Arabidopsis thaliana: one gene and its partners. The protein of the gene in region 1 interacts with the protein of each later gene in a pairwise test. Each region holds a gene or a part of one and is shown on either strand. Other genes may lie near its edges. The genes, in order: AL2, GATA10, GATA11 and GOA.

Region 1 (8,270 bases):
TTTTGTCAATTCTGTAGGGAGAGAGCTTGAGGATTGCTTGGCAGTATCGGAAGTATTTGGAAAACCAGAAGAATGCTATTGGTAATTTAGTTAGTGCGGTTATATATTCATTTGCATATCATTCAAGAATAAATTGAGCTACTAGTAAGTTAGATATCATTCTTTGGAAACATAATCCTCTTTACCTATTCTGGATCAGATGATTACTCCAATGACTTTGATATGAGAAAGCCCTTGGAGAGGCAATTTCTGAGCGGACGGCCCATAGATTGTGTCAGTCTGTTAGACTCTTCAGATCTTTCCATTGCTCAGGACCACTGTGCTACGTTTTTATCAAAATTTCCAAGGTTGTGTGGCATCCTTTCTTATTTGATCTCAATTACTCGCTCTAGTTTCGAATCAATAAATTTTGTTGGTCATACCTATGCAGCAAATTCTGCTCAAGCTCAATTCTTTTTACATCTCTCTTATACTTCCAAGCTCAGTTTGTTTATATTGTTTTAGTTTGTTACTGAGTCAGTTATTGTTCAAATTCTTCTCTTATTTACTGGCTTTGTTAAGTAGATTGTCCTTTTTTTCTTAAGAACCTGTGTATTGTTTCCCACAGAAACAGCAGTAACATTGCATCTATTGGCCGCATCGCAATCCAGTCTTTTTGCTCTCCCCTGTGTGAGTATTCTGAAAAGGTAATTAGGAGAGTTTTCTGGAACTTTTAGCCTATATCAAGTCAACAATGCTTTCTAACGAAAATTCTCTTGACTCTATAGTTAATGATAGCTGAAGCTTGTACCAGTATCACGTCGTTATGTATTATATTGTTGATTTTTTGACATTTTGTTTCTATCAACACAGGAATCAGACATGCTCTCATTCATAAGATTGCTGAAAAGTATGCTTATGGTTTCAAATGCGGTAGCCATTGTTACTTTCCCGCCTTCCCTGCTCTCCCCATCTTCCTCTAAAAGACTGCAGCATATGGCAGATACCTTGCTCTCTATCAAAGCAATCCCAGGTTTGCTTTCCCTGATTTTCTTATTCATAAATAGATTATCATAGTTGTTTCTTGACAAGTATCCTTGCCTTTTTTTCCAGATGGTGACAAGGAATTGGAGAAACTCCTCACTGGCTACAAGGATATAAATGGATTCCTCAACATACACAAGGTTGCTCGTATCAACACACAGGTATTTACAAATTGTGTAATTCTCAATTTATATAGGGATATTATTACCCTGAAACCTGTAAGCAAGAACCCCTTTGTATTTTGCCAAGTCAAAAAAACATATTCAATGGATAAAAGTCTGATGAAATTCAAAATGTCTACTGAACAACTTATCCAGAAATCCCCATCTAATCCATTTTTCTCTCTTTTGATGAGAATGACATGAACTTGCTTAGAAACCGTTGAAAAAATGGATTCACTATGGTCCTAAACCACTGGTTTGATCTGAATTGTTTAATGGAACAGGTGCCTGTAATTCTTGAGGCAAAAACCTTCTCAATGAGCTTGAAGAAGAGAAGATTCTTGGCTCTAGAGTGTCTGAATCAAGCCCCTGTAGACGGGTCCAGTGGAACATCGTATGGCACATCTGGTAGCTGCTCATCCAAATCCGGAGCACTAGATTTTTGAGTTGCTGAGTTAGTCTTTCTTTTCTTCTTCTTAGTTTTTTTTTTTCCCTCTCCATTGAGTTCTCTAAGTTCACTCACTAACCTGAGCAGTTACATTATTATTATAGTCTTTGGTCTTAAAAACAGTTTTGACAGCAATATGTTTTGTTTTTATAATGAAATTTATTTCATTTCTGTATTATATATACTCTTATGAAACTATGACCAATGATAGATGCTAGTTACTAAACGTTCAATGTAATCACTTCAACATGTTCACGTGGTTATTTGTTGAACCATCCATATATATAACATATAAAGAAAGAAGGTGAGACATTGAATGAAGAGTTCAAAAATATGGTTGATCTATATTTGGTGCTCCTTTAATTCAGTGTTCCTTTACTTACCAACCAACGACCATATCATTTGAATTATTGCTCATAAATCTCTCTCTCTACCCAATCTCTTTATTTAGTACCCTATTCTTCTTGACTTTGTTTCTTTCCAAAGCTTATACAAGAGATATTCATTCTTAAACTAAGATTTTCATATATATTGAAAAAGAAAGAAAAGATTTCTCATCATTTTACTTTTTGGTAGAGAGCATTTCAAGTAAAAAATACTTTGAGAAACAAAAAGAGAAAACTAGTATGAGAAACAAATCCTTAAAAAAGGAAATAACAGTAATGCACGTGATGATATAACAAAAGGTTTTGTTTTGTTTGTTTTTTTATTGTTTTTTTCTTCTTTTATTTGTCTGTTATAATAATCAAAAAACAAGAAGAAAAAACGAGACGTTCATGCATTTAATCTCGCACCTTACGACAAAGAGTGAGAGAGAGGATCGCTCAGGTTTGTTCATCTTCACCGGACGATTAGCTTTTGCGGTGGGAGAAAGAACGGCCTGTCTTCAGCTCTGAAACAGAGGAACAGAGAGGTTAGGAAGGAGACAATGGTTGGACCCGCGCGGCCTCAGATCGTTTTGTTTGGATCTTCCATTGTTCAGATGAGCTTTGGCCATGGTGGTTGGGGCGCCATTCTTTCCGAGGTCTACGCTCGTAAGGTATCGTCAGATTCATCAATCTCTCTCTCTCTGTGGCTTCTGGATTCGATATTCATCCTTGGTTAGATTACTAGAGCGTTGATTCTACAAGTAGATCGCTTATTCTAATTACTCTGTATTATTTATTATTTTCCCTAACTATACATTTGTTCATTGAAATTCGTCTTTTGTTTTACGATTGTAAGCGTGTATTATGCGAACCATAATGTTATTTCTCCATTTGGATGTTATGTGTATAGGCCGACATCATTCTGCGAGGATATTATGGATGGAACTCTTCTCGTGCTTTGGAAGTTGTCGACCAAGTGTTCCCCAAGGTACTCTTTCAACTCCCTTTTTTTTTGCTTCTTCTCTCTTTAGACTATTAGTTTCTTCAATACTAGATTATGATAAAGATTCAGCGTTTTATAGGTCTTTATATTAGTCCGTATAGGTTGATGTGTGCTTATCATTTGACCTAGTAAGAATTCTTTGTGAACATTATTTTACTAGTTCAAAATGTACCCCAAAAGGATTACACAAGTGGCTATTTTAGTTGCATAGTCTTTGATTTAGCATACAAGACTCTGCATCTGTTTCAAGGGAGATGTCTCTGTTTAAGCATAATCTGTTTCATCCGAGTTTTCTTGATATCTCAAGCTGTTTTCTCTTACCCATTATAAAAAAAATTTGGTAGAATGAGCTTAACTTTGTAGAAAACCATCATATTCAAAGCTTCTGTTTTCTTCCACTTTGTCGCCTAAAAATTGCAACTTGTTACGGATGCAGGATGCTGCAGTACAACCTTCTCTGGTCATTGTCTATTTTGGAGGAAACGACTCAATGGCGCCTCACTCGTCTGGACTAGGACCTCATGTACCACTTACTGAATATGTTGATAACATGAAGAAGATCGCTCTTCATCTTCAGGTTTATACTTCCTTTATAATTGTTAGATTTATTATTTATCTCCTGTCAGTCACGTTTAAAAGCCATTTCAAGTGCTAATTTCTTCCTCTATTTTCTGTTTCAGAGCCTTTCAGACTTCACCCGAATCATATTTCTTAGTTCTCCTCCAGTGGATGAGGCTAAAGTTCGCCAGAACCAAAGGTAACTTCCCTGAATTTCTTCACTATCTCTCTGTTTCTCCTTATTCTCTCCGGCCTTATTAATATAGATGTGCTTCTTTTTCTCTCACAAGCCCATACTTGAGCGAGGTAATCCGCACAAACGACCTCTGCAAGACTTATTCAGATGCTTGTGTAGAGCTGTGCCAAGAACTCGGCCTAGAAGTAGTTGATCTCTTCTCTACTTTTCAGAAAGCAGATGACTGGAAAACTGTTTGCTTCACGTAAGTATTTTTTGAGTTCTGAAGAAATATAGAGAGACCTTTGATATATATGACTTTCTCAGAGTTTCCAAATGCGATAACCGGGAATGGAGTATCGACGATGTTCATTGAAATGTTTTAACGGTATAGTCTGGTTTGTTACAGAGACGGGATTCATTTGTCAGCACAAGGAAGCAAAATAGTAGCGGGAGAGATACTAAGAGTGGTTAAAGAAGCGGAATGGCATCCATCACTTCACTGGAAATCAATGCCAACAGAATTCGCAGATGACTCTCCTTATGATCTTGTATCAGCAGATGGCAAACAGACAGTAAATTCTTCAGAATGGACTTATTTCTGGGAAGAACAATGGGACTAAACATTTCAACACACACAACAACAACAACAAGACCCTATCTTCACATAATTCACTGTCTTAATGTGATAAAGCTTTGCTTTAGATTGTTTACATTACAAGTGTCTCTGCTATAATCTGATTCAGTTTCGCTCGAAAAACGTTACCATTTTAAAGTTTATACTTATCTAAATCTTAAATCACAGAAACACACCAAGTTTGTGTTCAAGTAATTTCTTTTTTTCTTGTTTACATTTTACAGACATTAACAAATGTCTGAAACTCATCACATAACACTCCTCCAGACAGGGGTTTAGTGTTTTGAAGGTAAAATCACAAAGTAACTAAATTTGGGCCGATAACAAAAAAGTCGCTTAGGAGATTGGACTTATTTGGGCCTAAAACCTAACACTTAAGGGCCCAACTAAAATGCCATTTACCTAAAAAGCGACGCATCTTCGTCTACTACCAAACCTTTTCGCTGACGCAACCAAACTCCCAAAAATAAAAATAAAGTTTTTATTTTCTCTCTCTCTCTTATTTTTCTTCTCCTTCTTGTTCCGTCTGCTTCTCTCCATCTCCTTCCATATCTATTGTTCTCTCTCTCTTCATGCCCGAACGCATCGGGTCTCAAAAACCATTGATACAGACATCGATCCTTGTCAACTAGTACTGATCTATAAATCTTATAAAAATCTGTAGAGATATGGCCGCCGCAGCCGTTTCCTCTAACCCTCGCACCGTTGAAGAGATCTTCAAAGATTATTCCGCTCGTCGTGCCGCTCTTCTTCGTGCTCTCACTAAAGGTCTAAATCCTCTCTCTCTCTCTTTCTCTAAATTTCCCAGATTTCTTCGTAATGCCTTTGGATTCGTCCTTTAACTTGTTCGTTTTTGTGATTTTTTCCAGATGTTGATGATTTTTACTCTCAATGCGATCCGGGTATGAAAGATTTCGACTTTTAGATACCCTTTTATGTGTTTTATTGAGATTTGATTTCAATTTTTGGGTGTTTGTGGTTATAGAAAAGGAGAATTTGTGTTTGTACGGACACCCTAATGAGTCATGGGAAGTGAATCTACCAGCAGAGGAAGTGCCTCCGGAGCTACCTGAGCCTGCTCTTGGTATCAATTTCGCTAGAGATGGTATGCAGAGGAAAGATTGGCTTTCTCTTGTTGCTGTTCACAGTGATTGTTGGTTGCTCTCTGTTTCTTTCTACTTTGGAGCCCGTCTTAATCGCAATGAGAGGTATTTCTCTTTTTCCCAACATTTTGATTCTGCATTCTCATTGTTTTGTGTTTTCTTAAGCCATGTCTCCAACTTTTACTTGATTTCAATGGATTCTGTGTTGTTCTTACATGAAACCCCATAGTTGTTTTCCATCCTGGCTCTTCTCATGTGAAGTAAAAATTGAAACTTTGTGATGATGATGGAGTTCGTTTGGAATGAGATTGTCTTTGAATTTGCGTGAAATGAGTTTTGTTTTGTTTTGTTTTTTTCGCTATTCGTCATTCATATCTATGGAGTATTGTTTGTTGCATGACTTCATCTGTCTAAACTTTTTCTCAGCTCTTTTGGATATTGTAATGGCTAAACTTGAAACTTGATTATCCTCCCTAATTTTAAAAGCCTGGTATTTGCTATTCTATGAAATCTGAAAACGGATATTCTGTGGTCGCATGTGCTGAATTTCACCATTTCATTGTTACATCTGAACACCCATCTTAGTAACTATGGAATCCAAAGAACTTTACTGACAAAGGTTTTGTGAAAGTTAAATTTTGACAAAAAAAATTGCTATTTGATTAGTACTAATGAGATCATTTTACTGTCTGTCTGTCATATATTCTAGAAAACAATGTTATTTTGGTTATTATCTGTTTCATTGTTCTTCAAGAGAGAAGTAGTTGTTGGCATTTAGATAGGTTTCAATTAAAGGTGCAAGAAACTGGACTTTGTTTTCTCAACCAGTAGTTTCACTATACCATTAACAAGTCTCTAAAGTGATCCTCTACCATTTTAGTCCTCTATCTTATTTACACTAGACTAGTAAAAAGCATTTCGTAAGATGCATTTCCAAGGATAGAGAATTTAACCCGACAGAGCTGCAAACAAATAATGCTAGATAAAACATCACAATTGTGTGTTGTACTGATATGAAGATTCTGGTTCGTTTTTCCTCACTTTCGCTTGCTAATCTAGTTCTTAGCTTATCTTAGCTGCCTTTTTCAATGTGTTGTCCACTCATGGAGTTATATTATTCTTTTGATTTGCAGGAAGCGGTTATTCAGTCTGATCAACGATCTCCCAACTCTCTTCGATGTAGTGACTGGTAGGAAAGCCATGAAAGACAACAAGCCAAGCTCGGACTCAGGAAGCAAATCCAGAAATGGCACTAAGGTACACAAAATAAGGAGCCTCCTTTCTTCTTTTTTGTTATCTGGTTTCCCTCTTTGAAATCAAAAATCGTAATTAGCAGAGATCAATAGACGGGCAGACAAAGAGCTCAACACCGAAACTAATGGAAGAGAGCTATGAGGAGGAGGAAGAAGAAGACGAGCATGGAGACACTCTCTGTGGAAGCTGTGGAGGTCATTACACAAATGAGGAGTTCTGGATTTGCTGTGATGTTTGTGAACGTTGGTACCATGGAAAATGCGTCAAGATAACTCCGGCTAAAGCAGAGAGCATCAAGCAGTATAAATGCCCGCCTTGCTGTGCAAAGAAAGGAAGACAGTGATGCTGATCAATTGATGATGATGATGATGATGATCTCTCAGAGAGACTCTGGTTCTCATGTTTTAATCAATATGTTAATCAACTTTTTTTCTTTTCTTCTCTTTTTTTCTTTAACCTTCTTAATTTTAAAGCATACAAAACTCTCTCTTTAGATCTCAAGAAAGGGATTTCAAGAAGTTGAGGGAGAGAGTAGCAAACTGTTTGAATAATATTATTATTATTCATATTAAAAAAAAAAAAACTGGGTTGTGTCATCAATTGTGTTGTGTCATGGGGTTTGTATATGTTAGACTTAGTCAAATCTTTAAGCTTCGAACCGAATTTTGAACAAATATGTTTTTAATCTTCTGTTAGGTCTTTTATCTGTCTTAAGATATTGTTTTTCATAATTTTAAAGAATATTATTATCCAATATTATGTGATATGTCAAAGTGATAGTCTTCTCATTTGGCCGGAATTGTAAAGAGCCAACATGTTTTCCAAGTTCTAAAGGGCAAGTAAATGTGATCGCAAGCCTTAGAATTGGTAAGTTTTATAATTAACCATCAAGATTGTCACAAATCATCTCTAAATCCAAATCTAAATTTTTCAATCAAATTTGCGACAATAATCAAATATTTTTATTTTTTAAAAAAAAAAATACTATTTATTTAGCATCATACTCAATAAGAAATTCATGAAATGTTAATAGTTGACAATCGACTGAATTTAACTAAATTTTAAACTCATCGACTGAATATTTATTCGACGATAATGATTTGTAGCCTAGTGTTTTGGTTTGTGCTAATTAATGCATGTTGATGATAATAATAATAACAATGATCAATATTCAAAATCAATACAAATCAATTTATAAATGTGATCATGCATGTATGTAATATCAAGAAGGGCGATCCCAAGTAAAGCCAGCATGAAGATCACAAATTCACAATACAAAAATCTTAGTTTTGGGTATTCAAAGTGATATCCGTCCAATCTTCTTCGTAAACGTTACTTACAAGCTCCCCCAAGTCCCCAACTATATATGATAAAGAACTTAAATCGGATCTAACAAGATTCTGTAATACATGGTCAACACGAATTATCCTTTTTATATACATTACTTAATCTAATATGTGTACCATACTACCATCTTTAGATACTAGATATTTATTGCGTTCACATGTCCGTCATTTTGTTTGTCAATACTAATTTTTCT
Region 2 (8,149 bases), on another chromosome or scaffold:
TTCTTGGGTACAGTTAGATAGATAGCATGAATTGGTTACCTGAAGCTGAAGCTGAGGATGACTTCAAAGGTCTTCTCTCTGGTGATTTCTTTGATGATCTCATCAATCACCTTGACGTCCCTCTTGATGACATTGATACCACCAATGGTGAAGGAGATTGGGTTGACAGGTTTCAAGACCTTGAGCCTCCTCCCATGGATATGTTCCCCACTTTGCCTTCTGACCTCACCTCTTGCGGCTCTGGCATGGCCAAGGCCCCTCGTGTGGATATTCAAAGGAACATTCCTGCTTTGGTGAGTTCTTTGTTTTTTTTATCACTTTTGCATTTTACTTGTTTTGATTTTTACCCAATTTGAGTAAAAAAAGCTTTTCTACCTGAAATTTTCTTGCTTATTTAGTTACTCATATAATTTGAGTGATGTCAATCTTTCACTTTCCGCTGTGTTTATAACCATAGTTAGCAGCATTCATGTAGAGGGTATTCCTAATCCGAGTATAATCTTGTGTCACTTACTTTACTGGTGCATTGATTGTGTTCCTGATTTTGCAATCCATCTGATTTGTTTGGTTTCGTTGGTGCAGAAACAGTCCTATTCTTCTGAAGCCTTGTCCAGCACTCTCCACCAATCTTCAGCTCCTCCTGAAATCAAAGTTTCGAAACTATTTCAGTCTTTAAGTCCAGTGTCAGTTCTCGAGAACAGTTATGGTTCTCTCTCGACCCACAACAATGGATCTCAGAGATTGGCTTTCCCTGTGAAAGGCATGAGAAGCAAGCGCAAACGCCCCACAACACTGAGACTTAGCTACCTTTTCCCCTCTGAACCCCGAAAGCCCGAGAAGTCAACCCCGGGCAAACCTGAATCCGAGTGTTACTTTTCTTCTGAGCAACATGCCAAGAAGAAACGCAAGATCCACCTGACCACCCGCACGGTCTCTTCCACTCTGGAGGCAAGCAACTCGGATGGGATAGTCCGCAAATGCACTCATTGCGAGACAACCAAGACCCCACAGTGGAGGGAAGGACCCAGTGGACCGAAGACCCTCTGCAATGCTTGCGGAGTGAGGTTCAGATCTGGTCGCCTAGTTCCAGAATACCGACCAGCCTCAAGCCCCACCTTCATCCCAGCTGTGCATTCAAACTCACACAGGAAGATCATTGAGATGAGAAGGAAGGACGACGAACAGTTTGATAGCAGCATGATTCGGGCAGTGATATCCAGAGGGTAAAGCAGTTTTTTTTTTAAAGTTTGGTCTCTGATCCGCAGAAATGGGAAGTCAGTGGAGGAAGAAGATGGTATAAAAGTAGGGTTTAGTGACTGTTTTCAAATCTGATGAAGAGAGTTTAGTGGTTTAGTTCAAGTTAGGGATATGAAATATTTTGTTGTTTCATTATGTGTTTTTATCTTTATCTCTTGGCTGACATTTGTGTATCAGAGGAAAACAGGTGAAGCCAAAGTTTGCTCTCTTTTTTTCGCTATTTCAAATCTATTCTTTTTATTCTTCAATCCCATAATCTTCTTCTTTTTTTCATCTGTTTTACTATTTTGCATTAGTTGAAAAATAAACGCCCATCAAATTCAGTCATGGAGGCTGCTTGCTTATGTACGTATATGATTAATGTTCAACAGAAGGAAACTGAAGTGCAAAAGAGTTTCTATGTAGGTTAAAGACGGACACCTTGGTGGTAAGCTAAGTAACAACTTCCTCTAGCTGACAACAACAGAAACTTAATGATAACAGAGAAAGATTAGAAAACAAAAGCTTTTTTCACAGAGACGAGAGACTCACCTACAAGAAATTTCAACTAAAACCAAGTTTTGTTTCATTACGCTCATACAAAATCACACTGTACAAGATGCTGACTCTAAACTCCAACTTCATGATCCACTTTCCAGTAATTGTTATCGTTGAACTCTTTCATTCCTCAGTCTTTAGGTCCTCAGCCATCTCCTTGTTCATCTTCATCGCTTGCTCCATGCCTTTCTCTGTCACTTGTGCTTCCACTCCCACAAATTCCACGTCCTTATCAAAGAAGGATCTTTCTGAACCGTTTGGAATCAAAGATTCGGTTTTGACGTCAGGCATTGGTAATGTCGAGGCTCATTATGTTCTTGGTGTCATCATCATCGATAAAGAACATTGATCTTTTGGTTGGAGACCTTAGCCTCATGACTTGTGAAGATGGATAACAAACCTTAGCCTCATTATGTTCTCTGCTTTAGTGGGTTGTTGGTACCCAAGGTCTAATCTTTTTGGTGGGTTGTGTTTATATACCCCAACCCAAAGGGTCTCTGATTAATAATTTGGAATGACTAATCGCAACTCATGTGTTCATTTCTGTGTATATAAATCCCAAACCAGTTGACCATTAAAAGCAAAAACAAAAATGACGAGACATTGAAAACTCCATCTACCTTTTTCTCCCTCCTCTTCTCTCTCCCATTCCCAAATTCGAACGAACCTGCAATCCCTAAACCCCCAATTTAGACCATCTCCAAATTCGTCGTCCTTTTCTCTGTGTAGTCTAATTATATATTACAAGGTTCTTGCTCTCCTCTCTCTTTCTTTCTTTCTTTACTGGGTTTTATATTTTGTTGCTTTGGTGGTGTGGGAATGAATACTTGCGACCGACACTTGTCTCACTGTTAAAAGAAATTGTTTCAATCTTCGTTACCTTCAAATGTCGTCATTGTTATCTGTTGCGAAATTGCTTTAAGTCTGTGTCATTAGTGAAACCTCGTAATTGAATTTTTTAACTTGTAATTTTTTGGTGGACATGGGAGCTGTTCTTGAACTCCTGCTGCATATGTGTTGAGTTTTAAGCTCATTTTCTAATCGCTTTACCTTTTCTTGGTTTACAGTAGATGAATTGGTTACCTGAAGCTGAAGCTGAGGAGCACTTGAAAGGTATTCTCTCTGGTGATTTCTTTGATGGTCTCACCAATCACCTTGATTGCCCACTTGAAGACATCGATTCCACCAATGGTGAGGGAGATTGGGTCGCCAGGTTTCAAGACCTTGAGCCTCCTCCCTTGGATATGTTCCCTGCTTTGCCTTCTGACCTCACCTCTTGTCCCAAGGGCGCCGCTCGTGTGCGGATTCCCAACAACATGATTCCTGCTTTGGTCAGTTCTTGTTTTCTTATCACTTACTTGATAGAGTTTTACCCTATTAGATAGAGTATATCATCTATTTAAACTGAATTTGTCTTGCTTATTAGCATCATTCATGTAGAGGTGCATTGATTGTGTTCCTGATTCCTGAATTTTAATCCATCTGCTTTCTTTGGTTCTGTGGGTGCAGAAGCAGTCCTGTTCTTCTGAAGCCTTGTCCGGCATTAATAGCACTCCCCACCAATCTTCAGCTCCTCCTGATATCAAAGTTTCATATCTATTTCAGTCTCTAACTCCAGTGTCAGTTCTCGAGAACAGTTATGGTTCTCTCTCCACCCAAAACTCCGGATCTCAGAGATTGGCTTTCCCTGTGAAAGGCATGAGAAGCAAGCGCAGACGCCCCACAACAGTGAGACTTAGCTACCTTTTCCCCTTTGAACCCAGAAAGTCAACTCCGGGTGAATCAGTAACCGAGGGTTACTATTCTTCTGAGCAACATGCCAAGAAGAAGCGCAAGATTCATCTGATCACCCACACCGAGTCTTCCACTTTGGAGTCAAGTAAGTCGGATGGGATAGTCCGGATATGCACTCATTGTGAGACAATCACGACCCCACAGTGGAGGCAAGGACCCAGTGGACCCAAGACCCTCTGCAACGCTTGCGGAGTCCGGTTCAAATCTGGTCGCCTAGTTCCAGAATACCGGCCAGCCTCAAGCCCGACCTTCATCCCATCTGTGCATTCAAACTCACACAGGAAGATCATTGAGATGAGAAAGAAGGACGACGAGTTTGATACCAGCATGATTCGCAGTGATATCCAGAAGGTAAAGCAGGGGAGGAAGAAAATGGTATAAAAGTAGGGGTTAGTGACTGTTTTCAAATCTGATGAAGAGAGTTTAGGGGTTTAGTCAAGTTAGGGATATAACATATTTGTTGTTTCATTATGTGATTTATCTTATCTCTCTCTCATTTTGCGAGCAATATGGTTGCACTGACGTTTGTGTATCAGAGGAAGAGAGGTGAAAGCCAATGTTTGCTTTTTTGCTTCTTTGCTTCAATCCCATAATCTTCTATTTTTCGTCTGTCTTAATATTTTATATTAGTTCAAAAGAAGTGAATAGCTTCAAATTCATTTATTGACTTTGTCACCCTTTAGGTTTACTATATGATTTGATGTTTGTCAAGCGAAACTAAACTCAAAAGAGTCCAAATATACTTTAAAACGGACAACTTCGTGGTAGGCAAAGTAAATAAGCACAGACAACTTCCTCTAGCTGACAACAACAGAAGCCTAATGATAAAAGAGAAAAAGATACATGCCAAAGAGAGAGAGACCCTTGCACCAAATTTTAACTAATAACAAGTTTTGTATCATACTCTCACACAAAATGACACTGTACAAGGTAACGACTTTTTCATTCCAACACTCCAACTTCTTGATCCACTTTCCAGTAGTTGTTATCGTTGAACTCTTTCACTCCTCCTGAACTTTCCTCCGGCTTTGAGTCCTCAGCCATCTCCTTGTTCTTCTTCATCACTCCAGCTTCTCCTACTATCCCTTCTTTCATCGCTTGCTCCATCGCTTTCTCTGCCCCTTCTGGTTCCACTCCCACAAATTCCACGTCCTTCTCAAATAACGATCTTTCTGACCCGTTTGGAATCATGGATTCAGATTTGACCTCAGCCATTGGTATGTCGAGGTTCATTATGTGCTTGCTGTCATCATCATCATCATCATCGATAAATGGGTTCAGACCGGTGCCACTCGCTTGCATATCAGATGGTTCTCCCCACCCGACCCATTCGGGTGGCTGTTCAGCAAAAGCTTCTTCAGCTTTCTGTGAGGTGTTGAAGTCGAAGAAATCCAGTGGACTCTCCATTTGAAAGTTGGTTTCAGTTGTGTTCAACGCGTTGTCTTTTGGGTTTCCAGTTAGATCATCGTCTTCTTCTCCAACCACAACTTCATCATCGTCACTACTGCTAGTGTTGGCATTATAGGTTTTATTCAATTCCACGTCTATCGTGTTCGAACCCGCTGTGTCAGAGGGTGTGCTGCCGAATCTATCGTCTTGGAATGTGAACCAATTCGAATTTGTAAACAAGCTGCGGCAAAATACCAAAAAAGATTCAAGTCATTATTTTGAGAGACGTCATCATTCGTTTTTTGGTCAAGAGAGATGACATAATTCAATCACCAAGATACAGTAACTGTAGTTTAAAGCAAGGACATGAGGACACCAGTATTAACAGATAATAAAAAGATAAACTCACCTTCCTTGGTCATCCCCAAGTCTTAAGGATGAAATTACTACTTCAGCAGATTCATCGTCGAAGTAAACATCCTGTATAGTATATAAACACATTCCAATTTTCAATAGCAAACTCTTATTAGCGTACATCCCCCATACGTATCATAGTGTGATAAAAGATGTTGATAGTTTCCTTGATTTTTCAAAAAAGCGGAGAGAAGAATTTTTGCAAGACTTACATCATCGTCTCTATCAAGGGCATTGTGGTCCTGAGAGAAATACAAAGACGATAAATTCAGTACCCAGGAAATCATTCATAAATTGAAGAAAAAGCACTAGTGTGAGAAGATACCTCTTCATTGTCATCGTTTCCATATATTTTGTATCTAAATGCTTGGCTTAAGTTATTGGCCAGAGCTGCAACATCGTAATCCCTGTCTTCCTCATCGCTATCTCTTGTCCTATCTTGTAGGGTAGTTGGGCGCCTACACGTAACAATTAGTTTAGGAATTTTTATAACCAAAAAGAGTGAAGATAAAATCCAAAACCCGGGACCAGATCATGGTGCATTTACTGAGTGGTCTCGTCATGAGAAGAAATATTATTTGACTATGATACCATCAGTCATCAATGCAGAATTATCTTTGAGGGTTTTGTCCAAGAGGAACAAGGATCACACATGAATTTTTACATCCATAATCAGCATTATGTAGCAGACTGACCAATTAAATGGTTACTAGATGATTTGTGAGTAGAGGTTAACATACCCACATCCCCATCTGTTGACATTTTCAACCGTGTTGCGGTCCTGCAGAACACTACCTTGCCACTCATTCCATTCGCTGTTTTCCTAAAGATTTGGGAATGAACAAAGCACAATCAGCAAACATGGTAGATTCCAACAGAGTGCTAGGACCATTCATCACAAGACTCAACTAATGGTTTTACATTCTTTATGCGTGTGAAGTGACAAAAAAGCGGCAGAAGAAAAACAACACGACACGTATAATTTTTATACCAACCTGAAGGTATGCCTTTATCTGGCCATTGCTGTTACTCAACTGACCAATTTTATTTGATATTCTTGTGATATGCCCGACATACCCGACACGAGGTTTTTTTTTCCCGGAGGCAGCTACAGTGGGCTACCTCGCACAAAAGAAAAAGAAAATGCCAGAGAATATTTGTTTAGCTAATGAACGCTGGAGCAATGAGTCAATGGAGCTAACTTGGAGCTGTATTAAGATGACTCTTTCATATGCTGATGATCAGTTAAACCTTTGTGAACATAGCAAATGGTAATACCTGGCTATCACCTAAGAGGTTTGAGTCCCTGTCCGACAAGAGGAATTTGCCAATCAGATCGCAGTCTCGAAGAATATGGTTAACCATCAAATCGCTCTTGTTTTCCAAACAAGAAAGTATTATACTCTCCACTTGATGATGCAGAGCATTATTGTACGGGTACCTTCATATGTCGAGAGTATTTGATTTTTTAAGATCTCGTAGAAATAGCACACGGTAATCACAAAATTTTAAGTTTAGCAAAACCTACTCGAAAAACAGATCAAGGGTCCTTTTGATTGTTCCTGAACTGACTAATTCCTTTTGTGCAGCTTCACTTCTAGTTTTCAACAAAACTGCAATGAACTCCACAATCTGAAACAAAGAAAATAAGATAAGTGAGTCTAATTAAGTATAGAGACTTTACATACAATATATTAAGAGCACTGTTGGTGTCCTAAAAACGACAATGTCTTCCATAAAATGCTCCATGTTTGGACCTGACCTTTAGACGATGCTTTCCGAGAGGAGGCCTCAGTTCACCATATGTTGTAGGCAATACTGTGCTATCAGATGCTACAGTGAGAAGCATAAGCAAGTCATCTGCAGAAAAAAAAAAAAATATTACTTAAGGTCATTGAATGCATAAAACCTGATTTGAAAAACTTGTATGAGACAGTATCATACATATCCAAGATGTGCTACGTAAGCATTCCAGAATTATGTAAAACCAGTTTCCATTTATCAATATAAACCAAAATAGAAGAGACCAAATAGAGAGCAGGGAAGATCAAACAGAACGTCCAGATAGATGCTAAATACTCTAGGTATCCTCGCAAATGGAAAGTAATATCACATAAGAAAAGGATTGACTATTGTCCAAGTGCACAATAAGATTATGTGCATGCAACAAATAAAAAAGCCAGAAAATTAATAATCTTGATGGTCATGTGACGATGGTGCATCATAGGATCCAACTTACTGAGTTTGGGCAGCATGGCACCAATAGTTTCTGGGGAAACTGGGACAGGAGACTCGAACATATGTTGACCTCTGTAAGAATTGAACATAGAAGATGAAACAGCAGATCTCCTCGGATCCAGAAGAGAGGTGCATACTGAAAGTGAATGAACTAGACCGGATTTTGAATGCGAGTCTTCAAGAGCATGACCAAATATCTTTGCAACGTAGCTGCAAAAACAGGGAAAAAGTTGTGCTGCCATGTGAAACACTTTTGTATCATCTATCAAAGCATTAGGAATCATCATGGAAGAAAGATTACAAACCCAGGGCTAGAGAGCTGCGTAGCTAAAGCTGACGGTGCATTCCGAGAAATTGCACATAATGTTTCTGCTGCATTTGCCTGAACCTCCGGAGGACTCTGATTCAAGTTGTAATGCAAGAAACATATCAGAATGAAGATGATAGAAGAAATTAGTAATATCATCAGATATCCTAGATTTACACCACCTACAAGTATCAAAGAGAAAACCAAGAGCCT
Region 3 (7,756 bases), on another chromosome or scaffold:
TTTTCCTTGTTTTCGTAGGACCTAGTAGATAGCGAGTTTTGCCCCCAAAACAGCGATCGAGGGAATTTATGAGCACGAGATCTCGATTCCCCATACACGTAGGCCTCTGCTTCTCTCTCTTGTTCCTTTGTTCCTTTCTTTATTCGATTTTCTGGGTCCCTTTTGCCCTGTTTTTCCTCTGTCTCCTTCCCCCAAAATCTTTCGGTTTTGTTTTTATACAACTTGCAACCGTTAATGTTCATCCTCACCGATTGATCACCTACTCTTTTCCCTTCCTGGGTTTTGTTTCTTTCGAATAAAGATTGATCCTTCTTTCACTTATAATCGTTTTGGTAATCAGTAGGGTTTGGAATCGAGGCACAATGCAAATGAACTCTGTTTGGAAGCTGTCTCTTGGGTTATTACTTCTTAGCTCAGGTATGTATGCAGAATGGTTTTACAAAATTGTTCATTTGATAAAAAAGCTGGACTTGTCTCTGATGTTCTTGGAATAATTGGCAAATTATATCTCAGTTATTGGCTCTTTTGCGGAACTTGATTTTGGCCATTGCGAAACTCTTGTGAAAAAATGGGCTGATTCTTCTTCATCTCGTGAAGAACATGTTAATAAAGACAAACGCTCGCTTAAGGATTTGCTCTTCTTTCTCCACGTTCCGCGAACTGGAGGCAGAACATATTTTCATTGGTGATTTGATTTCCTTTACCAAAAAGTTTTTGAGAGATTCTTTTATGATTGTTGTGTGGTTAAGGCTGTGTTTGTGCTCTTGTAGTTTTTTGAGGAAGTTGTATGATAGCTCTGAGGAATGTCCTCGATCTTACGACAAGCTCCACTTCAATCCAAGGTATCTTAATTTCATCAGTGCTCTCGCTAATTGTACGTCTTTATTTGATGCCAAAGACTCTTTCTTGTGGAAACAATAAGATGGCTTACAGAATGCTGTTTGTACATTCTATTGGTTGTTAAGTTGACTTTAGATAGCTTAGCTAGACATATATAAAGTTAAATATTGTTTCATATGAAAATCAATTTTCCCTAGCCTCCTTTACCTAAAGAAAAACAATGTGAAAAAAGTATTTTGCCTGTGGTGTTACTACCTTCGGACAGTTAAGATCGTGTTGACTCGTAAATTTATAGGAAGGAAAAGTGCAAGTTGTTAGCCACACATGATGATTATAGTTTGATGGCAAAGCTTCCGAGGGAGAGAACTTCGGTGATGACAATAGTTCGGGATCCTATTGCGCGTGTGTTAAGCACTTATGAATTTTCCGTAGAGGTAGCAGCTAGGTTTTTGGTGCATCCCAATTTAACTTCTGCGTCAAGGATGTCTAGCCGCATACGCAAGAGTAATGTAATAAGCACACTAGACATATGGCCATGGAAATACCTAGTTCCATGGATGAGAGAAGACTTGTTTGCTCGGGTATGTCGACCTATCCCATTCGTCTTTTTTGGCTTTTAAGCTAGAACATGATAAGAACACATAAAACTTGGGCTGAAGCTTTTTTTACTCATCCTTGGCTTTTCTTAGCGAGATGCACGAAAATTGAAGGAGGTAGTGATCATTGAGGACGATAACCCGTATGACATGGAGGAGATGCTTATGCCTTTGCACAAATATCTTGATGCGCCTACTGCTCATGACATCATCCACAATGGAGCGACTTTTCAGGTACTTTTTCATGCTATTTGTTTAAGTTTTCAAAGTTATTGATTAGAGATCTCCAGAGCATTTTCATTTCACTTCACAGATTGCAGGATTGACAAATAACTCCCATTTATCAGAAGCACACGAGGTTCGGCATTGTGTGCAGAAATTCAAAAGCCTTGGTGAGTCTGTTCTCCAAGTTGCCAAGGTAGTAACACTTCTTCTTCATCATAGTTCACTGCGTCTTGGTATTGTGCTTTTAAAAGCAGCAGATTCTGTAAGCTTTTTTAAATTTTGCAGAGGAGGCTAGACAGCATGTTGTATGTTGGACTGACAGAGGAGCACAGGGAATCTGCATCACTTTTTGCCAATGTAGTGGGTTCTCAAGTGCTGTCTCAAGTGGTTCCGTCCAATGCAACTGCGAAAATCAAAGCTCTTAAATCAGGTTGGTGTAAGTTTCTTAATACCATCGCTGGGCTATCTAAGGAGAATCTAGCAACTTAGTTGAAGGACATGGTGATCATTTTTTTAGTCACAGTGTACAGTTTTTTCAGAGTACCGCTTTGGAGATGGTATTTACTTTAGTTTTTGGCTTTTGAAAGTCAAAACCCGTCATATTATTCATTAAAATGTTTGACTGATATTTTTCATTCACTTTTTAGGAGTTTGATTTTTAATTACCTAGGGAAGCTACTTATTGTTCTCTGTTATTTGGGGATTATCGTATAAGGTTTGATTGTCTTTCATCATGAAGATTTTTCTGATCTATGTTTCTTGTTGTCACATCATCTTTAAAGGTTCTCTTGCCCTCTTTTGTTTTAGACTTGTGTCTTGTTACTCTGGGTCCCTGGGTTTATTAAAGTTTCTTTGTTGGTTAATCATAGTCTCTTAGAGTAAGTAGAATGATGATATGACAGTTCATGTGCATACAGCCTAGGCTTTCTATTGCTTTTGTTGTATTTAAAGTCAGGATAACAAATGGTTGTACTTGCACTCACCAAATTGTCAACTTTATTTCCTTGATGCTTCAGAAGCAAGTGTCACAATTTCAGAAACCGGGTCAGATAAGAGTAATATTCAGGTAAAGTCCTGCTGCAGAAGGTAATAATTTGTTTGTTCAACTGTCATTTTTGTAATTGTCTTGCTGAAAATGGCTGTGACATTACAGAATGGTACATCTGAAGTTACATTGAATAAGGCAGAAGCTAAGAGTGGGAATGTAAGTAGAATCCCTTTTCCAATTTATTATCAACGCTTGAGACCTTGTGTGACTTTTATATATACACTTCAGATGACGGTAAAAACCCTTATGGAAGTCTATGAAGGCTGCATCACTCATTTACGAAAGTCCCAAGGAACCAGACGGGTCAACTCTCTGAAGAGAATAACTCCAGCAAATTTTACAAGAGGGGTAAAGTGTTTTCGTACATGATCTAAACTTAGTAAAGTTAATGAGAGAAGGCTGGAATAATGAAATCTTTTGACAATGCATCTAACAGACGCGTACAAGAGTTCCTAAAGAGGTCATTCAGCAGATCAAATCGCTTAACAACCTCGATGTGGAGCTCTACAAATATGCAAAAGTAATCTTTGCCAAAGAACATGAATTAGTGTCGAATAAGTTGATCTCAAGTGTAAGAAACTTCTTGTCTTCACATTTCGCCTTTTAGTTTCTGTCTGATATAAGACTAAACTCCATGATTCGTGTGCAGTCTAAGAGAAGCATTGTTGATCTGCCGAGTGAGTTAAAGAGCGTATTGGGAGAAATGGGTGAAGAGAAGCTATGGAAGTTCGTACCAGTGGCATTGATGCTTTTATTGATCGTCCTCTTCTTTCTATTTGTAAACGCTAAAAGGAGAAGAACCTCCAAAGTTAAGATTTGATCATTGTCACTATATTTTGGACCAAATCAGCAATTTGAAGAAGCTTTTGGGGTCCAATTTGTAATATTATTCTCTTTCTTTTTCTACTTTTCGTGGAAAAAGAAAAAGTTTTGGGTGTTGCCTTACCTTACAGGTGAAAAAGGGAAAATCACAAGTAAAAAAAAACTCTCTATCTACTTTATTTTAAAAGGCTAAACAAAACAGGTAAAGTCACAAAATTAGTGCTTCTTTTTTTTTTTTTGTTTAAGTGAGCTTAATCAATAAAGATAAAAGTAATAAGATTTCACAATTTTTTTTTTTTTTTTTTTTTGAGAAAGTACACTACTAACTGGTTTGAATTTGACTGTACCATTTTTCACGCAACAGACTGTGTGCAATTTAAAGTACAGTTCATACAAATCTCTATAAAACAAATTGTACAAAAGCAGTAAATATACCCCCACGTGATATTTGTTTTCTTATCAACGACGCAGTGTAAACAATAATATGTCAAAAATTTTGAAGAAAAAATCATATAAACTATATAAGAAGAAAAAATGAAAAGAAATATGAAGATCGTGTATATTAATTTTTTTTTATATAAAAAATACTAATAATAATAATTGATTGATGGGAGGAAGATAGTAAGTGAAAGGGATGAAACATATCATGTGGGAGATGGAAGCAAAGAGTTAGGCAAGGGACCCACTTTCCCATGAGGAAACGCCATAATCATCTTTATTATTATTATTATTTCGGTTCTCGTCTCTTAATCCTTCGTCGGTGATCTCTCCATTTCACTTTGACTCTCTCTATTATACTAAAGGTTTTTAGTATATTATGTTAAACCCAACTTATTTGTTTGCTACGTAAATTAAATTATACATCAATTCATGATACTATCTATTATTATTGCTAGAGATCGAGATCTATCAACCATCCTTCCCTCAAGGTTATTTTGCCATGTGCTTATCCTATTTTCCTTTTTAGATCTATTCCACGCAATCATTTCTCTATTTAATTCTTTTGACCATCATTAAGTGTTATTACCATCTTTTAATTTCCATGTCGACATACTATTACCATGTTAAAATGGGTAAATTCTTTCTTTTATCCTTTCATTACACCGACATATATTCCTTAAAACCCATTCAGATAAAATATTTGACTGATATTTTACTTACCTTATATATATCAGCTTTAATGATACAATATCTTTATTAATTGCAAGAAGAGGTTTAATGTTACAGTTGTACCCACAAGTTTTAGTGCAACGTTTTCAATTGACTTGGATTAACTTAACAAATACTATTACTACTTCAGTTAGTGTATATATATATTTATTGACATATGTAAAAGAACCAAAATTGAGTTTTTTTTTTCTTTTTGGTAAAACGCGTTGATAGAGAGATTTTTATTTCTCAAAGAAACTGATTAAGATTTTTCTTTAAAGTTAAGAAAAGCAGTTTCCATAATAATAATTTTCATATACAAGTAAGTAAGTAAGTAAGTAATAGTATTACATTATTATCTATTTTAAATGAATGAATCTCTCTCTCAAAGAAACTGACGAGACATTGAAAACTCCCATCTACCTTTTCTCTTTCTCTCTCTCTCCCTCCCAAAGTCGAACCTGCAATCCCTAAATCCCCAATTTGAGACCATCTCCAGTTCGTCATCGTACGACGACTCTCTCTCTCTCTCTCCTCTTCTCTGTATAGTCGAATTATATTACAAGGTTCGTTGCGTCTCTCTCTCCCTCTCTTTCTCTCGTTAGGGTAAAAGCTTTCTCTTTTATTGTGTCTTGTCTTGCATTTTCCTCTGTTACGTTTTGCGTTGTTTTCGAAAAATGTAGGAAATAAATTTGGTTGCTTGCTTTGTTGGTGTGTGAACCGACACTTATCTCTGTGATTTTTTTAATTAAATTCTCAGTGATGTTTGAAGGAATTGTTTCAATCTTCGTTACCTTAAAATGATGTCGTCATTGTTATTGTATTGGGTAAATTTTCTGTTTTGTAATTGTTTTAGCATATGTCTCTGTCTGATTGTGTCAGAGTTTTGAGTGAAACCCCCAAAGTTTTTTTTTTTTTATTTAACTGGACATGAAGCTGTTTTTGAATTCAGCTTTTGGTGAATTTTACGCTGATTTTTGAATGTGTTTTATCTTTTCTTGGGTACAGTTAGATAGATAGCATGAATTGGTTACCTGAAGCTGAAGCTGAGGATGACTTCAAAGGTCTTCTCTCTGGTGATTTCTTTGATGATCTCATCAATCACCTTGACGTCCCTCTTGATGACATTGATACCACCAATGGTGAAGGAGATTGGGTTGACAGGTTTCAAGACCTTGAGCCTCCTCCCATGGATATGTTCCCCACTTTGCCTTCTGACCTCACCTCTTGCGGCTCTGGCATGGCCAAGGCCCCTCGTGTGGATATTCAAAGGAACATTCCTGCTTTGGTGAGTTCTTTGTTTTTTTTATCACTTTTGCATTTTACTTGTTTTGATTTTTACCCAATTTGAGTAAAAAAAGCTTTTCTACCTGAAATTTTCTTGCTTATTTAGTTACTCATATAATTTGAGTGATGTCAATCTTTCACTTTCCGCTGTGTTTATAACCATAGTTAGCAGCATTCATGTAGAGGGTATTCCTAATCCGAGTATAATCTTGTGTCACTTACTTTACTGGTGCATTGATTGTGTTCCTGATTTTGCAATCCATCTGATTTGTTTGGTTTCGTTGGTGCAGAAACAGTCCTATTCTTCTGAAGCCTTGTCCAGCACTCTCCACCAATCTTCAGCTCCTCCTGAAATCAAAGTTTCGAAACTATTTCAGTCTTTAAGTCCAGTGTCAGTTCTCGAGAACAGTTATGGTTCTCTCTCGACCCACAACAATGGATCTCAGAGATTGGCTTTCCCTGTGAAAGGCATGAGAAGCAAGCGCAAACGCCCCACAACACTGAGACTTAGCTACCTTTTCCCCTCTGAACCCCGAAAGCCCGAGAAGTCAACCCCGGGCAAACCTGAATCCGAGTGTTACTTTTCTTCTGAGCAACATGCCAAGAAGAAACGCAAGATCCACCTGACCACCCGCACGGTCTCTTCCACTCTGGAGGCAAGCAACTCGGATGGGATAGTCCGCAAATGCACTCATTGCGAGACAACCAAGACCCCACAGTGGAGGGAAGGACCCAGTGGACCGAAGACCCTCTGCAATGCTTGCGGAGTGAGGTTCAGATCTGGTCGCCTAGTTCCAGAATACCGACCAGCCTCAAGCCCCACCTTCATCCCAGCTGTGCATTCAAACTCACACAGGAAGATCATTGAGATGAGAAGGAAGGACGACGAACAGTTTGATAGCAGCATGATTCGGGCAGTGATATCCAGAGGGTAAAGCAGTTTTTTTTTTAAAGTTTGGTCTCTGATCCGCAGAAATGGGAAGTCAGTGGAGGAAGAAGATGGTATAAAAGTAGGGTTTAGTGACTGTTTTCAAATCTGATGAAGAGAGTTTAGTGGTTTAGTTCAAGTTAGGGATATGAAATATTTTGTTGTTTCATTATGTGTTTTTATCTTTATCTCTTGGCTGACATTTGTGTATCAGAGGAAAACAGGTGAAGCCAAAGTTTGCTCTCTTTTTTTCGCTATTTCAAATCTATTCTTTTTATTCTTCAATCCCATAATCTTCTTCTTTTTTTCATCTGTTTTACTATTTTGCATTAGTTGAAAAATAAACGCCCATCAAATTCAGTCATGGAGGCTGCTTGCTTATGTACGTATATGATTAATGTTCAACAGAAGGAAACTGAAGTGCAAAAGAGTTTCTATGTAGGTTAAAGACGGACACCTTGGTGGTAAGCTAAGTAACAACTTCCTCTAGCTGACAACAACAGAAACTTAATGATAACAGAGAAAGATTAGAAAACAAAAGCTTTTTTCACAGAGACGAGAGACTCACCTACAAGAAATTTCAACTAAAACCAAGTTTTGTTTCATTACGCTCATACAAAATCACACTGTACAAGATGCTGACTCTAAACTCCAACTTCATGATCCACTTTCCAGTAATTGTTATCGTTGAACTCTTTCATTCCTCAGTCTTTAGGTCCTCAGCCATCTCCTTGTTCATCTTCATCGCTTGCTCCATGCCTTTCTCTGTCACTTGTGCTTCCACTCCCACAAATTCCACGTCCTTATCAAAGAAGGATCTTTCTGAACCGTTTGGAATCAAAGATTCGGTTTTGACGTCAG
Region 4 (7,355 bases), on another chromosome or scaffold:
ACAATGCATGATCAGGGTAACAAAACAAAACATTGCATGATTCACATTGACTTATTATTCCAAATTTGTTTCATTGATCATGATTCACGATATTTAGCATTAGTTACTATTTGGGTTAGTGTTGTTGATACATCACCATCTAACTTTAAATTCACATAATACAAAATAAAAATTGATAAAATCAGATTAAAAATGAATGAAGATGTATTTTTGTTTTCTTCTTCTTCTTTGAATTAAGTTTTAAATTTGGTTTCCATTCGGTTTAGTGTAAGTTGTGTAACCAAACCTCCCACTCACGAACAAAAATTCAGATTTATAAACATTACAAAAGTATCCACAATAATTGCTCCTACGACCTTAACTTAGTGTAGGTTAATTCCAAGGTCAAATCCTACAGCTAATTACATATCTAAACAAGCCACTTCCTTCATTTATTATCAATTTAAGCATCTAAAACCCAACATTTTTAACGGATAATAATTATCATCAACATGAGAAGAATAAAACACATCTTTCAACAAGAATAAATTAGTAAACTCAAATCATGTAATAATAATCAAATGAAAACAACAACAAAGAGTGTTGAGTCTAATACATACACATTACATTAAAACTATTGTTCAGATTCCAAATTTCTTCTTCTTCTCCAATATTACAAACTACAAAGAGAGAGAGAGAATGGTAATAAGAGAAGAAAAACAGTACAAGAGAATCATCATCTTGACAAATCTTCAAATATCTAAATCCTCCAACTGAATGTTGCTCTTAAGAGGCACATAATCTCCAAGATACCCACCAAGTTGATCATACAAAGCGGTCTTATCAATAGTCTGATGATGATAACTCTTACAAACATAGTAAAACACACTCTGAACCAACAAACCCACAAGATTAACCATCACAAGAACACCAACTAACAATCCACCAACCAAAGTCCTAGTAAAAGTTCCATACTTCCCACCACCATGAACCACAACAGCACCAAAAACAACTCCAATCAATCCACAGAGGAAAAGATAAACAAAGATTAACCCCATAGCCATCTTAGTCTTCCCTTTAAGCAACTCATAAGCTTTTCTCATAGCGGCGATTCCGTAAACCGGTTCAAGAACAGAGATTACACTACCTAAATGCCATAAAGCAGTGAAATAAACATGAACACCAAAGTATAGAACAGAGATTATAACCCCGGCTACAATAGCTAAACCTAAACTATTCAAATCAAGAGCTACGAGAAGCATCACGAGGAAGACAAAGAAGACTGCGTTATAAGCAAACATCAACAGAGCAACCCAAAGGAAAGTTATAAAGAGTCGTTTAAAGACTTTGGGAATCGCAGAGAGAGTTGACGAGAAAGAAACAGGCTTTCCGGTGTAAAGAGAAGCGACGGTGAAGACAACAGCAGCGGTTGAGAGAAGAGAGAAGGCAAAGAGGAAGATCAAGTAACTGAACTGGAAGATTAGAAGAACAGTCCAATCATGACGTGAACGATCTGAGTTTGGTGGGTCGGATTTGTCGAGTTTGGCTAAGATTGGTTGAGTGAAGAGTGAGTGAGCGAGGATAGCGAAGGAGAGAGGGAAGATGAAGGAGAGGGTTATGAGGTAGAAGGTTCTTGGAGATCGTTTCTTGATTGAGATTGATTCTTGAAGTAGTTGAGGTATTGTCAAGAATTGAAGCTCTTCTGGTTGGAGATCCATGGTTTGTTTCTTTGGAATGAGGTTTGATCGGAGAAGAACAGAGAGGAGAGATTAAGAATCACCGACGGGTCAATTTCGAAATCTGAGAGAGATGAAGTTTTTTTTTTTTTGTTGAGGTGTGTTTTGTTGATATCAAGAAGATGGAGAAAAAATGTTTACGGGTAAAGACTTTTTTTTTCCTTGGAAACTTCTGGGAAACTCATATAACACGTTTTGACTAGTATTGTTATTGTGACCATTTTTTTTTGGGGGGGGGGGGCAACTAATTGTTTATTTTTTGCTTTAATTAATATGATGGAATCGTTATTTTATGGGAAAATATGTAAGTGGTAAAGAGATGGACAAAAAGGAAAAGGAGATTTGGTCAAGTTTTATGAGCACAACTCTCTTTGCATGAGCTGAGACGCAATCATGGAACTAGACTTTCTATAGAGTTTATGAATCTTGTATACTTACAAAGAAATGGTAAGATAGGGTAAATCTAATTTTGATAGAGTTTAATTATGCACCTAATACCTAATATTCACCGTGAAGAATACTCTAGAAGAGTATTCAGATTTTCATATTTGTAATACATATATATGTACTACATTTTTTTAATGTTATTTATTTACATTTTGAAATTAAATAAATAAGTTCAAAGAATAAATATGATTTAATTTGAACGACATATCAGAAATGTTGTAATCTGTTTTTTTTTTTTTTTTGAATATTGTAATCTGAAAAATGAAAGTTTAATGGTTTGATATTTCGGTTGTATGTGTGATTATGTATGTTTTGATTTGTTTTCACGTAATAATGAGGAAATCAGGATCAAAACTTTAAAAAGAGCAAACAGAAAATTAATGATGTTAAAAGTTTATTAATACGAAGAAGAAAAAAAAAAGTTTTATTGATACGACCTTGTTTGAAATAGGATTAATAAATTTTCTGATGAAGTTAATTTATGATAGAAACAAAATCAAAGATTAATGCTTACTTCCACTGAATCTGAGGTGCAGGGAAATCACATGGACCGATGGTCCCAACAGTTAACTGTCCATGTCAACTTAAATACTACTAATTTACATAATTAATAGATGTGAAAATTATCTTTGCAATGAATATTGAACTTGTAACTTTTTGTATGTGTTTAATTTGGAGATCTTATAAGTTTACGTAAGGAAATAGAACTAGCAATCAAATGTTGGTGTATAAGCACTATCCTACACACACGATTTCTTTAATTATACTTTCAATTTCGAATAGAGAAATATAAGAAATGGACAAGACCGGCCGGTCCATGATTATATACTCTCAAGTTTCAACTTTTGTTTTGGTTTTCTAACTTTTATAAAGATATGTAACAAATGTGTTTTTAATCGAATGTGTTTTAATCTTTTTTCTTCTGGCACTAGGTTCTTTCTACACTAGCTACTTTAATCGAATGACTAATGGAATGTAATAAACCAATACTTAAACTAAACACTTGCCTCTTAAAGCCTTATTACAAGAAAAATAATAGACCGTGTATCATCAAAATATTGAAAAATAAATAAATACCCCAACACGTAATTTATAACAGTAAGACTATGAATGGAGGTAGCGGACAAAGCGGTTTAATTTGTCTGCGATTTAGTCCATCTCATTTTTGAGGCGAACAATAAACCGCTGCGGACCAAGTTTATTTGTATGTAAAAACGGTCCGTAGATGATCCGCTGCGGTTTTCTTCTATTTTTTTTGGTCATTGATGAATTGTAAATAAAAATAGTCTGATTCGTTGACGGTTTTGTCCGTCCCAACCGCCATAACCATTCAAACCCTAAATCGAATTCACAAGTCATAACAACTAATTCTCCCTAAATATAAGCATATCCTAACACAAACTAAAGAAATACCTATTATTATTTAATAAATTTAGTAAGAATACCTATTATTATTTAATGAACCATCCAAACCATACTTACAAAAGTAGCAGTCCCTATCTAAATAGAAACTGTTGATCTCAAGGTTTCATTTGCTAAAAAAAAAAAAAAAAAGCAACCACATTTCTTTCTCTATCTCACTCTCTCGTTTAACATTCTCATGAAATTAGGGTTTTAGAAAGATAGATCGATTGAAGATGAGGAAAGGTAAGAGAGTGATAAAAAAGATAGAGGAGAAAATAAAGAGACAAGTGACATTCGCAAAGAGAAAGAAGAGTCTAATCAAGAAGGCATATGAACTCTCTGTTCTCTGCGATGTCCACCTTGGTCTCATCATCTTCTCTCACTCCAACAGGCTCTACGATTTCTGCTCCAACTCTACCAGGTTTATATATAAAATCATGCATATGTGTGTTCTTGTTTTGGTAAAACAAAAAGAAAAGAAAATGAATGCTCTTTAATATGGACAGAAAAAAAGAGTTATTGAAGTTTTTTTTTCTAGTTGTAATTAATCAATACCATCATCACTTGGTTTCATCTTTTCTTTTTCGTTGGTTTACTTCTTTTTTTTTGTGAAACTTTCGTTGATTTACTTAAGAGAAATAAAATGCTGACAATCTTGCCTAGGAAATGAGATGATTAATCAAAGTGTTGCTTCATTTAGTTTTTTCTGTTCACTCGTACGCAAGTTTGAAATGCTTTTGGTCATCTTTTTTTTTTTCATATAATTTGGTATTGTATCCTTTATATGCTTTCTTGGGATATTTTATTATGTACCAGGTTTAATTCTATGGAAAGTTATGATCTATGTAGGAAAAGTTATGATCTTTTGTATTATGGATCCAAAAGAAAATTCATATTAAAGTTCATTCAGAAATAACTCATCTTGATATAAAAAATTTCTTCTGTTTTCTAGTTCCTAAGTTTATTTAATTTTTGTAACATCAGCATGGAGAATCTCATCATGAGATACCAAAAGGAAAAAGAAGGTCAAACCACTGCAGAACACAGTTTCCACTCGGTAATTATTTTTGTTATAATTCACAAATTAATATTTATCTTCACATGTTTTAAATTTATGGATGTTATATATGAATATAATAAAAATTTGTTGAAATTTTTTTTTTTTAGGATCAGTGTTCAGATTGCGTGAAGACGAAGGAATCAATGATGAGAGAGATAGAGAATCTTAAGCTGAATCTTCAATTGTACGACGGACATGGCTTGAATCTCTTGACCTACGACGAGCTCCTTTCTTTTGAGCTCCATCTCGAATCTTCTCTACAACATGCTCGAGCTCGCAAGGTAAAATAATACTGTTAATATACACACTTTATATAGTCTATACATTTATTAAAGGTTCTTGTCTCTTGTTTACTAATAATGTAGTCTGAGTTCATGCATCAGCAGCAGCAGCAACAAACAGATCAAAAGCTTAAGGGAAAAGAAAAGGTGAGTTCTTGGCTTTGGTATATTTTTTCCATTAAATACATGTTAATTTTATGTAATTTTCAAAGCTTAATTTACATATAACCATTTTTTCAACTGTTTGTATTATTTTTTTCTAATAGGAAATACTTATTGATGAATAAACTCAACATTTATGTTTCGTCTGTATATGTGACTTTTACATGTAAAATAAGTTAAATGTATAAAATAGCTAACTCATTTTTCATTTCTACTTAATTAGGGTCAAGGAAGCTCTTGGGAGCAGCTGATGTGGCAAGCAGAGAGACAGATGATGACGTGTCAAAGACAAAAAGATCCTGCGCCGGCGAATGAAGGAGGAGTTCCTTTTTTACGGTGGGGAACAACCCACCGACGTTCTTCACCTCCTTAAGCTACCACAACCAGGCCCAAATACAGGCCCATAACTTCTCTCTATCTATAAAAAACAACTGATAGTAAAAAGTATTGACCCGGTTTGGTTCGGTTATGTTGATACCAGACTATTAATTAACTTCGGTTAGACGTATTTACGACTTGATGCTATCTAGACCTTTTTGCCCTTCACATAAACTAATGATTACACTTTAATTGCCACTGAATCTTCCAACACAACACCACCCAGTTAACACCACCGTTGTCGTCCACCTTAGTGGTCGGAGAAACCAAATCAGTATAAAATTCTGATGACCGGGAATGCAAACTCAACGTCTTCTTCCCTCGAGATCGGCGGCGAAATCTTTTTGAAGATCTCCTAAAGATTTACATTTCTCATTATCTCTTTTCTCCCCATTTTCAAGTTCCGATTCATGCAACAATGAACCAAATCAAAGATCCAAACCCTAATCTACCGGAACGTCTCTTCGCCGTCGATTGCTATCCCGATAAAGCCCGTCTTAATATATATTCAAGACCTGAATATCTCGGTACAATTGCTAACCTTCTCAAAGGCTCTGAAGAATGGGAACGAATCAAAAGTTCACAATTTGGTAAGCTGTTCGAATTCCCTGTCGCTCGATGCTCACATTCAGGTAAGCTGATACATGGTTTATTATCCCGACAAGTCGTAACTAAAAAGAAACACGAGTTATGGTTTGTGTTTGGTGGACACCCAATACGTTTCTCTATAAGAGAGTTTCATATAGTGACTGGTCTTAGATGTGGTAAATTACCAACAGAAGATGAGGTAAAGAAGCATCAGGATTCTAAGTATTTGTCTGTGTGGAATAGGCTTTTCGGAGAGAAAAGAATGGTTACTATTGGAGATGTGTTGGAGATGTTACAAAAGAAGAAACTTTCCTCTTGGAAAAAGCTTTGTTTAGCTCTCATTGTAATTGTGGATGGTGTTGTTGTATGTAATGACCAAAGCTTTGTAACTCTAGATTTTGTGGAGATGTTGAATGATATAGACTTCTTTTTGGAGTATCCATGGGGGAGAAAAGCTTTTCTCGCAACTATTCGTCGTTTCGGGCCACCTAAAGATGCACCTAATCCGTTAGGGAAACTTAAGAAGCGTTTGAAACAGAAGACGAGTGCGTGTTACGGTTTTCCTCTAGCTCTTCAGTTACAAGTTTTTGAATCCATTCCGGTGATATTGGAGAGGATAAAAGATCCAAACGATCTTCGGGACTTCACTGAGAGGTCATCTGAGGGGTTGTCAATAGCGTTTCTGCTTCGTAAGAGTTATATTCTTGATGCTGAAGTTGATGACAAGCTTGTGGTTGCACATACATTGGAACCTAAGGGAATGATTAATGAATCTGAGTTGGTTTGGGAAACAGAGGTTTCTGATCCCAAGGTGGATTACATTTTGAGATTGATCAACGAGGGACATTGTTTCAAACCATTTGAATGGCCACACTTGAAAGCAGCAAATCAAGAGGTCAATATTCCAGATATTGATGGTGACAGCCTTGAAGATGTCACAGATGTTAGTCAAGCAAGGCCCAAAAAGCCTCTTACTAGGTCTTCTAAGAAGGAGAAGGAAGTTGTCAAGCCTCCTAGTATCCACAAACATACTTCTCAGGAAAAAATAAAGGCTAAAGTTCATGTTGGTGGAGAAAGTAACGACCCGGGGTATGTCACGCTTGCTTACTTGAATGACATGAAGGAGTGGATACTGAAACAGAATCAAGACCTTAGAAACAAGATTAGGGAGGATGTTAAAGAAATTGTTGTTGGTCCCAAATCACCAGCAGGAGGAGCATCTAATCTGCGTCAATCAAACAGGCTTAACACCAACAGTAAGGGAAAGACTGATGCATCACCTCCTAAGAAAACCGGCAACACAGAAACGCGAAAACGAAA

What was found.
Region 2: the proteins of AL2 (region 1) and GATA10 interact in a two-hybrid assay, tested with the Arabidopsis thaliana proteins (one large-scale study listed by BioGRID).
Region 3: the proteins of AL2 (region 1) and GATA11 interact in a two-hybrid assay, tested with the Arabidopsis thaliana proteins (one large-scale study listed by BioGRID).
Region 4: the proteins of AL2 (region 1) and GOA interact in a two-hybrid assay, tested with the Arabidopsis thaliana proteins (one large-scale study listed by BioGRID).

What each region holds. Positions count from the first base shown.
Region 1 is NC_003074.8:3,507,190-3,515,459, reverse strand, and holds AL2 (alfin-like 2), read left to right. Parts: upstream 1-4,801; 5' UTR 4,802-5,041; coding exon 5,042-5,141; exon of another isoform or gene 5,142-5,242; coding exon 5,243-5,275; coding exon of another isoform or gene 5,276-5,358; coding exon 5,359-5,581; intron 5,582-6,609; coding exon 6,610-6,733; intron 6,734-6,812; coding exon 6,813-7,073; 3' UTR 7,074-7,464; downstream 7,465-8,270. Other genes in the region: ELO1 (Paxneb protein-like protein), read left to right, coding at 18-81, 200-347, 608-686, 853-1,012, 1,093-1,184, 1,469-1,630; AT3G11210 (SGNH hydrolase-type esterase superfamily protein), read left to right, coding at 2,561-2,671, 2,911-2,988, 3,440-3,580, 3,684-3,760, 3,852-4,001, 4,146-4,359.
Region 2 is NC_003070.9:2,479,280-2,487,428, reverse strand, and holds GATA10 (GATA transcription factor 10), read left to right. Parts: upstream 1-1,702; 5' UTR 1,703-1,917; coding exon of another isoform or gene 1,918-2,085; 5' UTR 2,086-2,542; exon of another isoform or gene 2,543-2,861; 5' UTR 2,862-2,864; coding exon 2,865-3,125; intron 3,126-3,303; coding exon 3,304-3,969; 3' UTR 3,970-4,189; downstream 4,190-8,149. Other genes in the region: GATA11 (GATA transcription factor 11), read left to right, coding at 27-293, 583-1,227; AT1G08005 (serine/threonine-protein phosphatase 6 regulatory subunit), read right to left, coding at 1,918-2,085; AT1G07990 (SIT4 phosphatase-associated family protein), read right to left, coding at 4,531-5,218, 5,387-5,457, 5,604-5,633, 5,717-5,849, 6,132-6,214, 6,387-6,509, 6,670-6,832, 6,920-7,023 and 3 more. UniProt on the Arabidopsis thaliana protein: Transcriptional activator that specifically binds 5'-GATA-3' or 5'-GAT-3' motifs within gene promoters. May be involved in the regulation of some light-responsive genes.
Region 3 is NC_003070.9:2,485,348-2,493,103, reverse strand, and holds GATA11 (GATA transcription factor 11), read left to right. Parts: upstream 1-5,018; 5' UTR 5,019-5,246; intron 5,247-5,253; exon of another isoform or gene 5,254-5,286; intron 5,287-5,597; exon of another isoform or gene 5,598-5,688; 5' UTR 5,689-5,701; coding exon 5,702-5,968; intron 5,969-6,257; coding exon 6,258-6,902; 3' UTR 6,903-7,256; downstream 7,257-7,756. Other genes in the region: TPST (tyrosylprotein sulfotransferase), read left to right, coding at 363-417, 514-685, 771-842, 1,136-1,421, 1,530-1,670, 1,750-1,854, 1,947-2,091, 2,678-2,727 and 4 more; AT1G08005 (serine/threonine-protein phosphatase 6 regulatory subunit), read right to left, coding at 7,593-7,756.
Region 4 is NC_003070.9:11,114,232-11,121,586, forward strand, and holds GOA (GORDITA), read left to right. Parts: upstream 1-3,709; 5' UTR 3,710-3,799; coding exon 3,800-3,987; intron 3,988-4,550; coding exon 4,551-4,623; intron 4,624-4,733; coding exon 4,734-4,907; intron 4,908-4,991; coding exon 4,992-5,054; intron 5,055-5,292; coding exon 5,293-5,442; 3' UTR 5,443-5,554; downstream 5,555-7,355. Other genes in the region: AT1G31130 (polyadenylate-binding protein 1-B-binding protein), read right to left, coding at 732-1,697; AT1G31150 (K-box region protein (DUF1985)), read left to right, coding at 5,866-7,355. UniProt on the Arabidopsis thaliana protein: Probable transcription factor involved in the regulation of fruit growth. Contributes to integument development. Controls organ size via cell expansion. Involved in the regulation of longitudinal growth of the fruit evenly throughout the radial axis.